Linked DNA regions of Drosophila melanogaster. The gene in region 2 interacts genetically with the main gene of each other region. Each region holds a gene or a part of one and is shown on either strand. Other genes may lie near its edges.

What was found. A genetic interaction does not mean that the proteins touch.
Region 1: of mst (region 2) and Act79B, changing one suppresses a phenotype caused by changing the other (phenotypic suppression), as found in Drosophila melanogaster (one study listed by BioGRID).

Annotation. Positions count from the first base shown.
Region 1 is NT_037436.4:21,980,905-21,988,854, forward strand, and holds Act79B (actin 79B), read left to right. Parts: upstream 1-4,305; 5' UTR 4,306-4,344; exon of another isoform or gene 4,345-4,420; 5' UTR 4,421-4,446; coding exon 4,447-5,371; intron 5,372-5,733; coding exon 5,734-5,939; 3' UTR 5,940-6,286; downstream 6,287-7,950. Other genes in the region: P5CS (Delta[1]-pyrroline-5-carboxylate synthase), read left to right, coding at 13-291, 1,230-1,492. UniProt on the Drosophila melanogaster protein: Actins are highly conserved proteins that are involved in various types of cell motility and are ubiquitously expressed in all eukaryotic cells.
Region 2 is NC_004354.4:21,384,769-21,393,473, forward strand, and holds mst (misato), read left to right. Parts: upstream 1-4,208; 5' UTR 4,209-4,243; coding exon 4,244-4,324; intron 4,325-4,379; coding exon 4,380-5,109; intron 5,110-5,168; coding exon 5,169-6,082; 3' UTR 6,083-6,765; downstream 6,766-8,705. Other genes in the region: Ddx56 (DEAD-box helicase 56), read right to left, coding at 1,088-1,523, 1,582-2,010, 2,206-2,957, 3,018-3,083.

The sequences.
Region 1 (7,950 bases), on a different chromosome or scaffold from region 2:
CCTTCGTTTCAGCTTGCAACGCCATGGAGACCCTGCTGATCCACGAGGACCTGATGAGTGGCGCAATCTTCGGCGATGTCTGCAACATGCTGAAACGTGAGGGCGTCAAAATCTATGCCGGACCCCGGCTGAACCAGCAGCTGACATTTGGCCCGCCGGCGGCCAAGAGCCTGAAGCACGAGTACGGCGCCCTCGAGTGCTGCATCGAGGTTGTGCCCAGCCTGGACGAGGCCATTAATCACATCCATACGTACGGCAGCAGCCACACGGATGTCATTGTTACGGAAAATGGTAACGAAATGTTCGAAAATTGAAAATTAATTTCGATTGCCGGCAATCGAAGCTGAAAAGTGGTCTCCACCATTGGGAGCCCCCTTGTTGTACCCATTCCACTCCGATTAGATTGGGGCTTTGTGGGGTAATGAGAATTGCATACGGCTGTCGAAATGGTCATCATAATGGCTATTGCTGCAGTTGGCTTGAAATTGGTGACTGCGCGTTAGTAGGTAGAATGTCCGATTTTACGTGTGACATAGGCTGGGCTTCCAACAACTAAAATTGCATCTAAAAATGTGTATGTAAAAAATGAGACACCTCTTATGTGTTAGTAGAGGAAATAGCGTGCTAACTGCTTATGAAATTCCTTAGCACGTAGTTCTGGTACCCAAGAATACTTGCGGTAATGTATCCGCTTATAAGAACATCTTTTAAATTTTCACTCTTTCTCATCACAACATTATGTAATAGTTTGAAGGTCCGTAATGCACAGAAGTGTCAAATTAATATTTAATTTTGTTTTCAAGAATTCCAGTGCTATTATTTTAAATGGTAGTATTTACTTGAGCGTACATTTTCGTCCGGGGGAAGGCATGACCACTTCATACTGCCACCAGTAATTCAATTTGGCCCTCAATGCCATGCAACCAGGTACTTCTTCAGCGGTTCAGCCATTCCGACTTGAAACCAAAACCAAAGCCGAATCCTAATTCAAGTCGGGCAAGTTTAGCGTGCAAACTTTTGCATGCATGCATTCTCAGCCATTTTCCCCATTCCCCGCAGCTCACCACAACAAATTTAAATCATTTGGGAAATTAATTTTATTCAACACTTTTCCCCGCCGCACTGCCACTCTGCCACACTTCCATACTTCCAAGTGCCGTAGTGCCACAATTTGTGCAGTTTCTAAATTTCCACACACACTCTCCCCCGCTTTCCATTTCCATTCGCAGATGCGGCGGCCAGGCAGTTCCTGGGCAGCGTGGACAGCGCCTGTGTGTTCCACAACGCCAGCTCCCGGTTTGCGGACGGTTTCCGGTTTGGCCTTGGTGCCGAGGTGGGCATCTCCACTGCCCGGATCCACGCCCGCGGGCCTGTGGGAGTGGAGGGGCTGCTGACCACCAAGTGGATCCTCGAGGGGCAGGACCATGCCGCCGCCGACTTCGCCGAGGGAGGTGGCCGCACGTGGCTGCACGAAACCCTGCCGCTGGACTAAATAACCTTAAACTGAACTATTCTTAGATGTAGCATACCGAATCGCGTTCCAAAGTAGAGTGCACTTTCGTCATCTTTTAGAGGAGTGCATTTTGAGCGAAGGGTAATTACGTGGGGATAAGTGGATCCGGATCCGAATCCCAATGTGGATGAGGGCGAGGACAAGGATGTGCAGCTCCGATGACAGCTGCCGTCGTGGCCACATGGGATATATTAATTTGAGTGAAAAATATTTGCAGAGACAACTTGTGTAATTAATAAAGTAAGGGAGAGAAAGTGGGCGAAGGTTGTTCAAACTGTCAGCCCTTGTCTTGGGCCCTCAAAGTTTGCAGCGAAAGTTCCGCGCTGCAGATGGGGGATACAAGAAAATAAAATTAACTGGAAGAAAGCTGGAGAAATTGCGCTTTAAGTTTCAATCTCTCGAAAATATGATGTACTTTATAAACGGGTATTCCTATTACAAATCATAAATTAGCCATGGAACGTGCAATCCAGCTAAGCATAGTTCTGCCCCGCGGCTACTCGGAGGCGCCTCCAGCTTGGAATGCAACCGCGTGGCAAGTATTTTAATTTTTCTGTGCACTGGAGCAAGTTTCTTAGGCCAGCTCAACACCCCTCGCTCCCTCTCTCCGCCCAGAAACTTTTCGCATTGCGTGCTGGCCGGAGGAGGCGTGGAGGTGCCGCAGGTGGAGCTGTGGACGGGCAGGGCTTTGCCATTTGGTTCTGCCACCAAAGGTGGCTCCTTCGTCCTGTCAACGCGCTAACTTTTTCGCCGAATTTTCCTCTTGAAACTTCAAGCTAAATTGATGTTGGGGTCAGACAGCAAGGGTGCAAGGGAAAATTGAGCAGTACCAAAAGCGCAGAATGGAGGTAAATCTGTCTATATTTACTTGAAGAAATCTATGTGTAATCTATTAATATACAACCGAAAAATAACCAAAATATGATTTCCAAAAGGGCACTCTTATTTGTTGATCGAAACAAGACCTTCTAAGAACTAATTAAGACTTACTTAGCACTGATTACAAATACTATCTGCCCACTTAATTGATCCGATCCCATGCCACATTTAGCTGTGAACTGAAAAAGTTGCAATATATCGAAGTATTCAGAGCTCCTCCACCCCTGGATGCGGTTATCTACTGAGTCGGAGGAACCACAAGTCCCTGCTGGCGGGCATTATTTTTACCTCTTTCAACTACTCGACGCGCGTACGACCAATGATACGTGGTTGGTGTCCGTACCTGATCCGCAAGGTGGTCACGTAATGCTCCGCAGTTGGCGAGCACTTGGCAAAGTTAACGGGCCAAAGTTGGAGCTCAGAAGTTTGCTCCTTTGGGGAATGCACTCGCTGCAGTAAAAGCAGAGTGCATGCACCTCCTCGGATGGGGCACACTTAATTAGAATATCGGGCATTAATCTTATGGCTAATGCCACGATGAGATCGAGCGATATCGGTGGACAGGCGCAAAATTGCTGTTGGCCGCATGCACCGCTGCGCCAAACCCCCCAACCACTTTCCTTTGGGCTCACAGGGCTATGTGCCGTGCATAGCCGTACAAAATTATTTGATTCTATTTTTTCAATTTGATTTCAATGAAATCCACACGACAGCGTCAACATTTATAAGATGTATAAACGCAAGTGCTTTGGCTGCATTTTTGAGTGTGACAACATTCGGGCCACACCATCTATGGACTGAGTGGGGGCCCAGAAGAGCATTGGCACCAATTTCTCTTACTCGAGCAGGGAAAAGCTGCCTACAAGACCAAGATAAAGAACTTGGGGGAAAGGCTGGCCACTACATTGCATTGTTCACGGGTTGTTCTTGTTGCTGCGCCGCCGTTTTGCGGGGGTTTATTTATATAAAAACTTAAAAATATATCTACAGATGCCTATACAAGTCCTGGCGCATATTTCGATATGTTCTCTCCTCTGTTCTTTGTCGAAGTCATAGCAAAGTTGGCAGCCAGACATAATTTAGCGAAAACGAAATGAAACTAAGTGATAAATGGTATTTGGGAATGGAGCAAATTGAATACTCTGAACGAACGCAAAATCCCGATAATGCTCTGACTAATACGACTTAGGGCCTGATGGAAATAAATTATTCTATCAAAAAACGGAGAGCCTATTGTCAGAGCTTAAATCGAAGCTCGTTAGATAAATCCATTTGTTAGCTTTGGCTTAACACATTCTGTCATTTGATGCTTAAATTAAAAGTAATTGGAATACCCAATTTTGCTATTTGTCAAAAAAATATATCTATTGTGTATATTTGGGACTATTGCCATTCTAAAACAATATATAAAATAAATATAAATATTTATATTATGTATGTATATTTATGACTATTGCCATTCTAAAACAATATATAAATATCAAAACTATCTAGCCTAAGCCCAGCGTTCCAATAAATTATTTATTTTCCCAAATTTCACAAGCTTATAAGTGTGTGCGGATTAAAATTCTAACAATATAACAAGACTTACAACTTACAAAACAACTTATTTTATATTGAAATCTAGTACCAATTTAGTTGCTCTAAGTTGTGGCTTAACTAGGGTTCTTTAATTCGTAATCCAACTTGTTGCCGTAGGCGTAATACCCGAAATCAGAACACTTTTGTGAAATCGAAATGATGTGCATCCGACCACCCTCCCCGGAAACGCCTGATCCCCAGCCAGCGTTGCATATCGCGGAATTCATCAACATGTTACTAGATGAACAATTGTTCGAGATGACAGGGACATGGGCGTGGGGCCGGCGGGGCGGGACAGAACTTATTTAAATGCAGCTGCCGGAGCGCATAACGAATCACTCTGATCGCTGTCGCTGTTGGATTTACACGTCGTGAGTGTAGTCTTGTCCGCCCATCCGAAATCCGTAACCCGCATAAGGGATAACCGATCTGTCTGTATCCTTGTAGTGCCGCCCGCACCAAACTAACCAAACATGTGTGACGAAGAAGCATCAGCCCTGGTCGTAGACAACGGCTCCGGCATGTGCAAGGCCGGATTCGCCGGAGACGACGCGCCCCGCGCCGTATTCCCCTCGATCGTAGGCCGTCCCCGTCACCAGGGCGTGATGGTGGGTATGGGTCAGAAGGACTGCTACGTGGGCGACGAGGCGCAGAGCAAGCGCGGTATCCTGTCGCTGAAGTACCCCATCGAACACGGCATTATCACCAACTGGGATGACATGGAGAAGGTCTGGCACCACACCTTCTACAACGAGCTGCGTGTGGCCCCCGAGGAGCACCCCGTTCTGCTGACCGAGGCTCCCTTGAACCCCAAGGCCAACCGCGAGAAGATGACCCAGATCATGTTCGAGACGTTCAACTCCCCGGCCATGTACGTGGCCATCCAGGCCGTGCTCTCCCTGTACGCCTCCGGCCGTACCACCGGTATCGTCCTGGACTCCGGTGACGGTGTCTCCCACACCGTGCCCATCTATGAGGGCTATGCCCTGCCCCACGCCATCCTTCGTCTAGATCTGGCCGGTCGCGATCTAACCGACTACCTGATGAAGATCCTCACCGAGCGCGGCTACAGCTTCACCACCACCGCCGAGCGCGAGATTGTGCGCGACATCAAGGAGAAGCTGTGCTACGTCGCCCTGGACTTCGAGCAGGAGATGGCCACTGCCGCCGCCTCCACCTCCCTGGAGAAGTCTTACGAGCTGCCCGATGGCCAGGTAATCACCATCGGCAACGAGCGCTTCCGCACCCCGGAGGCCCTCTTCCAGCCATCGTTCCTGGGCATGGAGTCCTGCGGCATCCACGAGACCGTCTACCAGTCCATCATGAAGTGCGACGTGGACATCCGCAAGGATCTGTATGCCAACAATGTGCTGTCTGGCGGCACTACCATGTATCCAGGTGCGTAGTCTTAATTAATTAGGACCATAAAGTTCAGAGGAAATTCTTCCGAGGGAATGGGATCAAAACTATGCGGGATACTTAAAAAAAAAAACAAGTGTTACTTTATACATTCATTTGGCAGAGAGGAAATCTTTAAATAATAAAGCCTAAATATTTAGCTGAGCTTTGTAATAACAGTTAAAAAAAATCTTATGGAAAGTAGTATTACAAAAAAAAAAAAAAGAATTCACCTAATGGGTTATATCCTTTCCCTATATCTCATATTCATGCATGCTATTATTAAAATGTCATGTAATGAGTACACCAAAGCTCCTCGGTTCTGTAGCACCACTAATGGATTCTATTTCTGTCCTCTTCAGGTATCGCTGACCGTATGCAAAAGGAAATCACCGCACTTGCCCCGTCCACCATCAAGATCAAGATCATCGCCCCGCCAGAGCGCAAGTACTCCGTCTGGATCGGTGGCTCCATCCTGGCTTCGTTGTCCACCTTCCAGCAGATGTGGATCTCCAAGCAGGAGTATGACGAGTCCGGTCCCGGCATCGTCCACCGCAAGTGCTTCTAAGCATCCAAGCCACCCAAACCAGATCAACATCTCCTCGAGCGCGGCCCTGGTGTTTGTCTCCAGCGTAAGACATCCGACCAGGCGCCGGCGCCAAGGGTGAGGACGCAGTTCAGTGAAAAGTATCTTTAAATTACATTTAGTTGATGAAGAAGTTTTAACATAGATAGAGAAAACAAGAGAAAGAGACGAGAAAAGACCGGAAACGAGCGGCAACGCCTTCTTTTTTTATTATTATTGCTATTTTTATTTGATTTGACTCGGAATTTGTACTGCTTGACTCGCTTGCCAGCGCGTAAAGTGGCCAAAACAATCGGTTGTACGTACAATAAAAACCAATAACCCATGTGAATCGAACCCAAGTCGAACGTCACAGGAGCAGCAGGAATGCGTGGTGGGGAAACTTTTTTAATTAGGCCTCGACGAATGTCAATCAGGCACTTGCCGGCCAACTTTTATTCTCTAACAGCTGCCATGGCAATCCCCCAGTACGGGTATCTGTATCTGTATCTGTATCTGTATCTGTATCTGTGCATCTATCCCCCCGCATGCTCTTCTGTCACATTTTCACAAACCCAGATGGATTTTCCACACGAAGAGAGGTTGCGAGGAATGACTTCTGGAGGACTGAAGTCGGAAATACAAGGAGCAGCGACAGTCTTAACTGGAGCCCAACTGCTCACAGAACTTTTCGCCAACATAAATGTTTGTGCTCAACTTTTGGCTGCAAACTTTTGAGGTTTCGCCAAACTATGCATAAACCAGGTGCCGAAAACTGTTGCTTAATTAGTTAGGGCCAAGCTTGCTGGAGTCGCCAAAGAAAAGAGTCTAACTGGGTTTATTGGTCTAATGTCTGCTGCTAAGTCGTCAGTAACACGGAAACTCTTCTAATGACTAGGGAGCACGTGCATTCTTGATGTTTTTGGGCACCCAAAATCTTGCCCCAAAACCTTGCCAATTATGATTTTAGAGATGCAGTCCTGGGGATTCTGGCACGTGTAGATATCAATTGAACTTTTGTTCCATGGTCCTTGCACCAACGCCACTGCTCAGCGGTCCATGGGTCATTGGATCCAAGTGCGGTTCATTATCCGCCGTCCAGCCAGGGAGAGCGGAAACAGAGAAATTAGTGCGGCACGTTGGCGTACAACTAAATGTTTGGCGGACTGGCTGGTCCGAAATGATAGTAAAGGCCTGGCTGGAAATCGCTACTCAATCAATCAGTGGTCGCAGCAGGTCAACAAATTTGGCCATAAAGCCCTAAAACTGAGGGGTTAATAGCTAATGGGTCGATTTGGCCCACACTCAGAGAAGTCACTAGAATGCACATTTATGATTCCTGGCTAAATTTTTATATATTTCTGTGGTTAAGTTAACTTATGTGAGAAAGAACAATTCTTTAACCAATATCACAGTTAACATTAATAATAACATTTTTGCAGATAATTTTAGTAAAAGTGGAAATAGAGTGGAGCTAAAATTTTTTCTTCTTTTAGTGCAGAATACCAGGCGGCCGAAAAGTGGGCCAAAATCCGTTCTCTGGTTTCGTATTGTTATGCTTGCAGCACTTGTCTGTACATCAAATTGAATTTAATTACAGCCCGGCCAGGGTTTTCGTGCTCCCCCGGAGTCATCCACATTCTCGGAGTAATGCTGCGTCGATTGTTTGTTTGTATGTCGGTTTCAGTTTGCGGAAATGGTTTTGCATTTTGCATTTGCTGCCATTGCAACTGCAACTGCAACACCGAGCTGCAAGTTCTGTGCAAGTTCTGTTTATTTTATGCTAATTTAATACACTCGCCCTATCAGCCGGCCCATTGATACCATTATAATTTGGTGTTAATTCCGAAGGCAAATACTTCAATGTATTTGCCATTTTCATTATGCAGATTTGCCCAGGCGCAAAACAAACAAGCTGGAATTAAAGCCCAAAGTTAACGAGTTATCTCTCGTCTGCCGAGAGCTGTGGGCGTGAGTTGTATGGGAAAAGGGTTGGAGGCCCACAAAAACTTGG
Region 2 (8,705 bases):
CAACCGCGCATACCTATACCTAAACCTAGCGAGTTTTATTACGATTATGCTAAATTAACTTAAATGTTTACGTTTAATTTAGCACTTAACGGAGCGATATTATAAAAGTCATTACTATGATAGTCGATGGATTAGAGCCCGCTACAAAAACTCTCCCCCTATTTTCAATACGTTTCAATATCCATATCTGATTTCGCGTTTCGATTTCTCAGACAACAACAGATATAGACAGTCAGACTTGGCCATATACTAAGCCGCGCAGATCGAACCGACTAGTTTTTCATTATTACCCTCATGATTATTATTGTATTGCATAAACGCTATAAATAAATGAATAAATAATTGTATGAATGTTAACTATTTCAATGACAATAATAAAATGTTAAAAACGAATACGCATGCATCGCTTATATTTCGCCCCTAATGGTGATCTATTTTTCCTGGGACTCTCGGTGTAATGGACTTTAAATGGTATCCAGCTGCTGCATAATCGTCGCTGTGACCTACGGAACTACTGGCACTTTGGGTAATGTGACTGACTCGTAGATATTTTTTATTTTCATTTTCCGTCCGCTGTCAGAAAAGTTGAGCAAATGATATAGTGCCTTCTGCCTCTATTTGGGTAAGTGGTTACCACTTACCGCCACCCGAACAGCGGCCGTTTTAAGCATATACTTGTCAAGTTTCTGAGTTTAAAAAGACATTCACTTACTTGCTTATCGGCTGGATAAGTACAAACATACACATTTGGCGGGCATGCAAATAAATATATATATATCATCGATAGAGTTAACAAACTACATTGTTAATGTGCATGTGCAATTGGTTATTTTTACAGCCCTATTACAAAATTCTAAATTAACAGAATTTTCATATATATAAAGAAAATAACCTGGGTTTGTCAATCTGCAGCTATCTCCAACATAGGTATATTTTTCGTTTAATTTTACTCATTTCTAATTTAGGGTAAAATAACATTTTTAAAATTCCAAACATCTTCAACGGCCGCTTTTATGTTTGGCTTACATTAACAATATTAACTTTATTTCCTTATTGACTAATGCGACTATAGATACCATTTGCTACCCTACAACGCCTTCTTTTTTCTCCGGTGGGCAGGACGCCGTTTCCCGAAGTCCACCTGGCTAGCCATCAGAGGATCATTGACCTGCCGCTCGAAGGCAGCCTTGGCGGCCGACTGTCGTGGCTGTTTGGCTTCCGAGGCTCCGACAGGGGAAGAGGACGTTCCAACCACTCGCTTCAGGGCCTTTGGCACTATGTACTCGGGCATGTCAGAGAGATGACTCTGTACCTTGATGGCGCGCAGAGGCTTGTCGTGCCGAAGCGCTTGCAGATCGCGTTTGTTCTCCTCGAAAAATGCCTTTAGTTTCTCGCAGTTGAGGATCTCTATCTTTATCTCTCGAATTCGAGTGTCGTGAACAGCTACGCGAGTTGCGGCCCGCCAGCAATCCTGAGCACGATAACGGAAGGACTCAACTTCTTCCATTTTAAACTGGTAGTTCCTGAAGTGATGGCACACTTAGCAATATTACAATTTTGAAGATGTTATTCTATACTCACTTGATGATCTGTTCGCCCTCTTGGGCTGCAAAACTATCGCACAGTTTCTTCTCAACTGAATCGTTTACCTTGGACTCCTTCATGCTGACAAAGGACAAGACGGAGCCCTTGTTATTTCCTCTAGCCGTCCTGCCAGCCCGATGGATATAAGACGTGACATCCCTGGGGAAGTCGAAGTTGATTACGTTGTTCACGCACTGAAAGTCAATGCCGCGGGAAGCACTCGACTCCATGTCGCCGCTTCGAGGAGATTTTCGGTTAGTCGCTGATTTGCCTCCTGGCTTTTCCATATGATGTTCGTCGGAGGCAATGATTATGTCGTAGGTGCCCTTGTTGAACTGGCTAATTGTGTGGATGCGAATGTTGGCAGGCAGCTCGGAGTTCAAGACACAGGCACGGATGCCGAACTGCTCTAGGAACAATCGAACCCTGAAACATTTAAATGGGTAATAATTAGAACGAATTATAGTAAGTATTTAGGGGCGGATGGGAATGCCGTCAGCGAGAAGATTAGTTGCTGGTCATGCGTGCGCCAACTGTTGCCAGCTGCCCACTCCCTGCATTTGTGGTTTAATCATCATTGGCTCCTGTGCATCTAAGGCGGGATTCGTATGGTTTACTCACTTGTAACACCGATCGATGCTGTTCACAAAGATTATGCTCTTGCCGCGTATGAGTCTCAGCTTCAATAAGGCGTACAAGATAGCCGGTTTATCGTTTTCCTCAGCCAGAATGCGCTGGTGCGACAACTGATCTTGCGGCACCAACTCCGGCTCCTCGAGTTTAAGCGTAACCGGGTTGTTCAGGCACAGGCCTTTCATGCGCACCACATCGTCGGTTAGAGTAGCGGAGACTAGGACAGCCTGGTAGATGGGAGGCAGGTGCTTAATCAACCGCTTGAAGTCCTTTTCGTAGCCATAGGCAAACACCAGATCCGCCTCGTCCACCACCAAGGTCTCCACATGCTTCAGATCCACCACGCTACCAGCCTCGGCGTAGGCCAGCAAATTGGCGGGTGTGGCAACCACAATGTCGGGACTTTCAGACAAGGCGTGCCGCTGGGTCACCGTGTCGTTGGAGCTATCGGCAATGTCCGCCACGCGTACAACCTTGCCGCAGGACTCGACCAGCTGCTCGATCACCTTACGGGACTGCCGGCATAGCTCCTTGGTGGGCGCCAGGACCACAGCGCTCACATACTGCTCGCTGGCGTTCAGTTTGGAGTTAAGGATCTTCTGAATCAGTGGCAGGGCGTAGGTGGCAGTCTTGCCGGATCCGGTGCGGGCGCGCACCACCACATCCTTGCCCTCCAGAAGCAGCGGTATCGCCGTCGACTGGATAAGTGTGGGCTGCTGCCAACCCAGCTGGGCCACCGCCTGAAAGATGAGCGCAACACTTTAAAATCTGGAACTGTCGGTCGCAAGCCGGGCACTCACCTTAAGGATGCGCTGATCCAGCTCCAGCTCGTGGAATTGCACCGTTTTCTGGGTCATCTGGCTCATGGTGGGCGACGGTATAAAAAAAAACGCTGGAAAATGCGCAGCGCACGTTTTCTGGCCCAACAAGAAAAAGAGCGAGGCATCGGTCCATTGAATTATCGGCGACTTTATCGGCTTATCGATAGTTGAATTAAACAGTTATTGAAATCTACTTTTAAAGGTAAGCAAATACCTTTAAAAAAAATTTAATATATTCCATTTATTAAATTAAATAAATAAAAAGAGAGAATGCCATAGTCGAGTTCCCCGACTATTAGATACCCGTTACTCAGCTAGTGTGAATGCGAACGCGAAATTTCATCATTTTTCTGGGATATCAATAGCTAATTGGGGAATAAAATTAGAAAAAATTTATAAAGTTTGGCTAGATCGACTCGGCTCCTAATCCTTAATCCTGATCAAGAATATATATACTTTAAATAGTCGGAAATGCTTCCTTCTGCCTGTTACACAATCTAGTATACCCTTTTATTCTACGAGTAACGTGTGTAAAAATCAGCAATTAAATATTTTAACTTAACATTGTATAGCACCTTAACTTCTTTTCTAGTTTATTAGAGAAATCTCATAATTCGCTCTTTTCTGACTTATTTATCCTCCGTCTGAATGGATATGTGAATCTATGGGAATCGACAATTTCTTTAAAAATACGTTTAAGCCGACTTATAGCTTCTTCTTTCGGAGATCCTATTTATAAGGTTTCACCGTATCGACCGAAAATAAAATCCGTTGCAATCCAATAACTAAACAATTGGAGCCACAAACGCTACCGTTCTTTTTTGAGATTTTACCGTATGACTTGATAAGTTTGCAATCGGCTTTTGCGGGTTACATATTAAGGTTGTTATGCTCTATTGTAAAAATTCCTCGTATTTCTTATGTTTTTTTTCTCAATGTGATAGACATTAAGGTCATATCGATATATTTACATACATAAGTAAAATTAATAAACATAACATATTCCTATAAAACTTTCAAAATATATAAATCTTTTTTGCAGTTATAAATAATATTTTTAAATATATTTATTTTTAATACAGAGTATCCAATCAACGAAATTAAGAACGCTTATTACCGCACACAGCTATCGATATATCCGCGAAAATCGATAGTTCCGCGGGCTCGCGCAATTGCATCCGAATTAGTCACTTTCGCCGGCTGTTATGGACTATACACGTGAAATTTTGACCTTCCAGTTCGGAACGTACGCGAATTACGTGGGCACACACTTCTGGAACCAGCAGGTGAGTTGTCCTACCCACTTGGCAGCCGGGAGCCTCACGAATTACACATTTCCAGGAGGCCAACTTTAGGTACGGAGACGAAAGCGAACAGGTGGCCGAGGAGCAGCTGCCCAACAATGATATTTTGTACCGTGAAGGGCGCAACGACCTCAATCGTACCACCTACACGCCCCGCCTGCTGTCCGTGGATTTGTCCGGGACCCTGGGACATCTGCCGGTGACCGGCGAGCTGTACGGCAATTTTGTGCAGCGTGATGAGGAGTTGCTGCCCCTGAGCACCGGAGAGGAATTGGAACAGGTTCGCAAGCGGGCAGAGGAGAGCGGCGTATGCTCACCGGAGCAGCTGGAAGTGCAGGAGCAGTCGAAGGCCTCCATTTCCGAATATCAGCGGGATCTGCTCAAGAATGCTGTGGTGCCCGAGAAGAACTATCAGCTGGCAGCGACGGCAAACAGTTGGGTGGACTTCCTTTACGCCAGGTATCACCCGAGAACCTTGAATGTCTTGCCGGGGCTGATCCGAGATCCGACTGCCCAAGCCCTGGGTACCTACTCTGCCGGAACAGAAATGTGGCAGGAAGTCTCCTTCAACGAGGAGTTCTGCGATCGTATCCGTTTGTATGTAGAGGAGTGCGATGGCCTGCAGGGCTTCCACGTGCTGTTCGACATTGACGATGGCTTCGGCGGACTGGCTGGGAAGTGCCTGGAGCACCTCAACGATGAGTACAGCCGGGCGAGTTTCGCGCTGCCACTTCACTATCCCAGGATCACTAGTTATCCCCAAGCGGGTAAGTAAGGTGATTTTTAAAGAAATCTAGCATATTAACACAGTTTGCCCAATTCCCAGATACCCGCCTGTCGCACAGCATTCGGGTGGTAAACAATGTGTTGGGCTACCACCAACTCAGCGAGCAGGCTTTGATGTTCACGCCGCTATCCACGCTGGAGACCATCTGGCGAAACAATAATCTGAAGTCGCGCAGTCTGCCGGGACTCCAGTGGGAGACGGATAACCTCTACCAGACATCAGCGCTGCTGGCCGCCTTTTTCGACACGGCCACCTTGAGTTACCGCCTGCGGCAAACGCCAGAATCTTTGCTACGCTTTTGCGAATGCGTCACTCCAGCGGGCAGAAAGATGACCGCCGCTGGATTGGCTCTGCCATTTGGGCTGAGGGAGGGTCAGGATCTGATAGAGTTTCTAGACCAGAGTGGCGACCACGCGCTGCTCACACAACTCACACCGGGCTGTGAGCCTGGCACATCCTACGTGGTGCAATCAGTGACGGCTCGTGGCATTCCCGCGGAACGTTTGAAACGGCCCAGGGAGCTGGCCGGCGATCAACTTCGGATGGCTGCCTATAGCTGCGATAGTATATCCCATATGCTGCAGCTATACTACCAGTGCACCTATCATGGAAGTGTTACAAATGCGGCAGCCACACCACTGCCACTAAAGACACAGCTACCTTTTCCTTATGAAATGTTTGCAGCCGGTATATCACGCGATGGCTACCGCTTGCCTGAGGGGGCGGAACGCGAGACGGGTAGTCGTGTGGATTCGGCACCCATGCTGGCCGCCGTACAGAACTCCACCAAGCTGGGCGAGCATCTGGACAATGTGCACGCCCAATCGCATCGAGTGCAGCTGGCCAAGTTGCAAGCGTACTCTAATTCTGGATTGGAGCGGGATGAGTACGATACGGCGCTGGATCAGCTGCTTGAGTTCCGCGACCTTTACGCAGACTCGCAGTATCTATAGGATGCTGTGGTTTTGGAAACTAAGATTTTGTGATAAGCCTAGGATTATGTACACAAAAAACACTCGTATACAGTCGAATTCAAGATGAATATGTCATTTTATATTGCCTCCGAATTATATTTTCGTTTAGTTCAAACGACATAATTTGATTAGTTCTTGTGCATTTATTTCTGTTAAATTGTAATTCCCTTAGAATTCCTATATCTCTTTTATTTTTACGACTCTCGTGAAGATTGTTGTAACCAAACTCAACCTATCGATGCATATATTATTTGCTTAGCTTAAAATGTTCTCGAAACCATTGTTACGGCCTGTATGTATAAGCTTAATGTGCCATGCTCCTTGTCCTCTAAGGTGTCAGGTTGGTTAGCTTTACCCGGAGCGGAAGTTGATGGGCTGTGGCCCCACCCGCGGCACTTTGTGATTGGCAGTCTCGGAAGCGGCTTTGATATTTTCGCGTTTCCAGGAAAGCGAGGAAAGTAAAAAACAAAACAAAACAAAACAAAAACAATGTTGTCTGGGCAGAGAATTTTGAGAGTCGTCAATGAAGTTTCTAATAACGCAGAATGGTCGAAATGGCCAATTTGATAAGTATTTAAAAAAAATGTTTAATTCTGAGCGGTAAAACGTTTGTGACTACAAGGTCTATAATTACATCGATTTATATCTTTAGTTTCTCAGCTGAATTCTTGGAATTTATCTGCTGTTAAAAACCTTGTCTTAAACTATTTGCTTACTATAAACATTTTGATTGGCGTACTAATGTTAATGGTGTTAAAAAACATTTTAGGGATAATATGTAATAAAAGGTGTTTGAGCTTGGAAATCGTTAATCTCATTATATCTCATAATAAATGTTGGCTTTCATCGTTAGGAAGTTATTAAATTATGCGTGCCGGATGGGCTATTTCGCCCACTGTGCGACCATGACGACATGGACGTGCCTAAAGAAATCGGTGAATTTTTATTTGCATGGCAATCAATTTTTATTCCTGCTATCCTGGAAAAGGCCAGGGGCATATTAATTTATTGAAAAGGTCTTTATTAAAAAGGATAGACTCTATAGTCAAAAAACTGAACTAACTGTTTTGGGACTAATGAGTTTTTACTTGCACTAAACATAAATTAAAGGGATGTGTGCTTTTATTTCTGAATTACTTTTATCTATGTAATTTGTCAGCTTTTTTACAGATTTTCTTTTTAAAACTCTTGCCTTTATGAAATATAAAAAAAAATATAAAACAATCGCTATGCTTTCATATCAAACACAAATAACGCCACGGACCTACGCAACCACTGGGTAACCGGAATTCGGTCTTTTGAATTGGTTGCCATCTTCTCCGTTGACCCCAAGGACCCTTCCTGGTCGACTTCACCTTTCCGCGACGTCTACGTGCGGCTACTGGCCGCTTTGTTTAACCTTAACCCTTACGGATCGGATCGAATTGGATCGGGAGCTGGGCCGCTTAATTTATACGAAAATTTATTGTCAATAAAGCGGCAGTAATTGAAATCTCAACGGGAGTAAATCACAATTTTATGGACTGCTAACGGGCGGCGACTAGGTGGATGGGATTGGGATTGGGATTAGGGCCTGGAGAAGGGGGTTCATAATTTGGGCGAGTGTTTTCCGTTTGCCGGTCAAGTTTTCCGCACCAGCCCTGCGTCCTGCGTCCACATTGTTTTGCAAATTAAATTTCAATTTGATTGGCACCGCTCCTTTAACATTCTGCCGTCTTTTTAGCACAGGTCCTTAAAGCAGCTGCTGTTCTCTAGCTGCTGCTGGTGTACTTCCGGGGAAAAAGGACCAAATCCGAAATTAAAATTACGCCAACGACTTTAATGGAATATGTGCGTGGAATTCGAAATGCCAAATTGAATAGCCTGCCGAGCTAGTGGAGTGTATATATTTCGTATATTGTTTTTTGCAGCTTTTAATTTTGTTTCGTTTTCGTTTTCATTTTCGATTCGGACCGGTCCGGTCCGGTTCGGTCTGCATGTGAATTGGGACGAGTCCTTGCATTAGCATGCAGTCCTGTCACTGCACATCCAGCCGCCACTCACTCCACCTGCAATACATGTATTTGATTAATGTGGGCTGCACCAGCTCTGATCCAAACACTGGGCCACTCACTGGGTGTCAACTTCTGTAGAATTTAAATTTAATAATCAGGCAGATCTTTAAGCGCCTGGAATGTGGGCATAAAACCAGGCGAGGCATGTAAAATAGTTTCATTTTGTAGGCCAAATTTGCACAGCTCCAATCTAAAACGTAAAAGAAGAAGTTAATATTTTAACTGGGACACAGGGACACTGGGACACTGGTAGGTACACTGAGAACGAAATGCATAATTGCATTGGAATTTAATGTCATCATAAATTCGTAATTATTTAAAACTCAAAATGCCTTAAACCTGAAGTTATTCAACATGCACATATGTATGTAAGGAATGTTGACGGCTGTATCCGGCAGCTAGTCACCTTCCAGGTGGCAAGTGTCAGGAGCGCTAATGAGCTTGGGTAGGAAGAGAACACTGTGACGAGTTCTGTACGGATTTCGGAGGCCAGAAATGGGAGCCATTGGTGGATTACTTATGGATCGCTCTACATTGATCCAGATCCT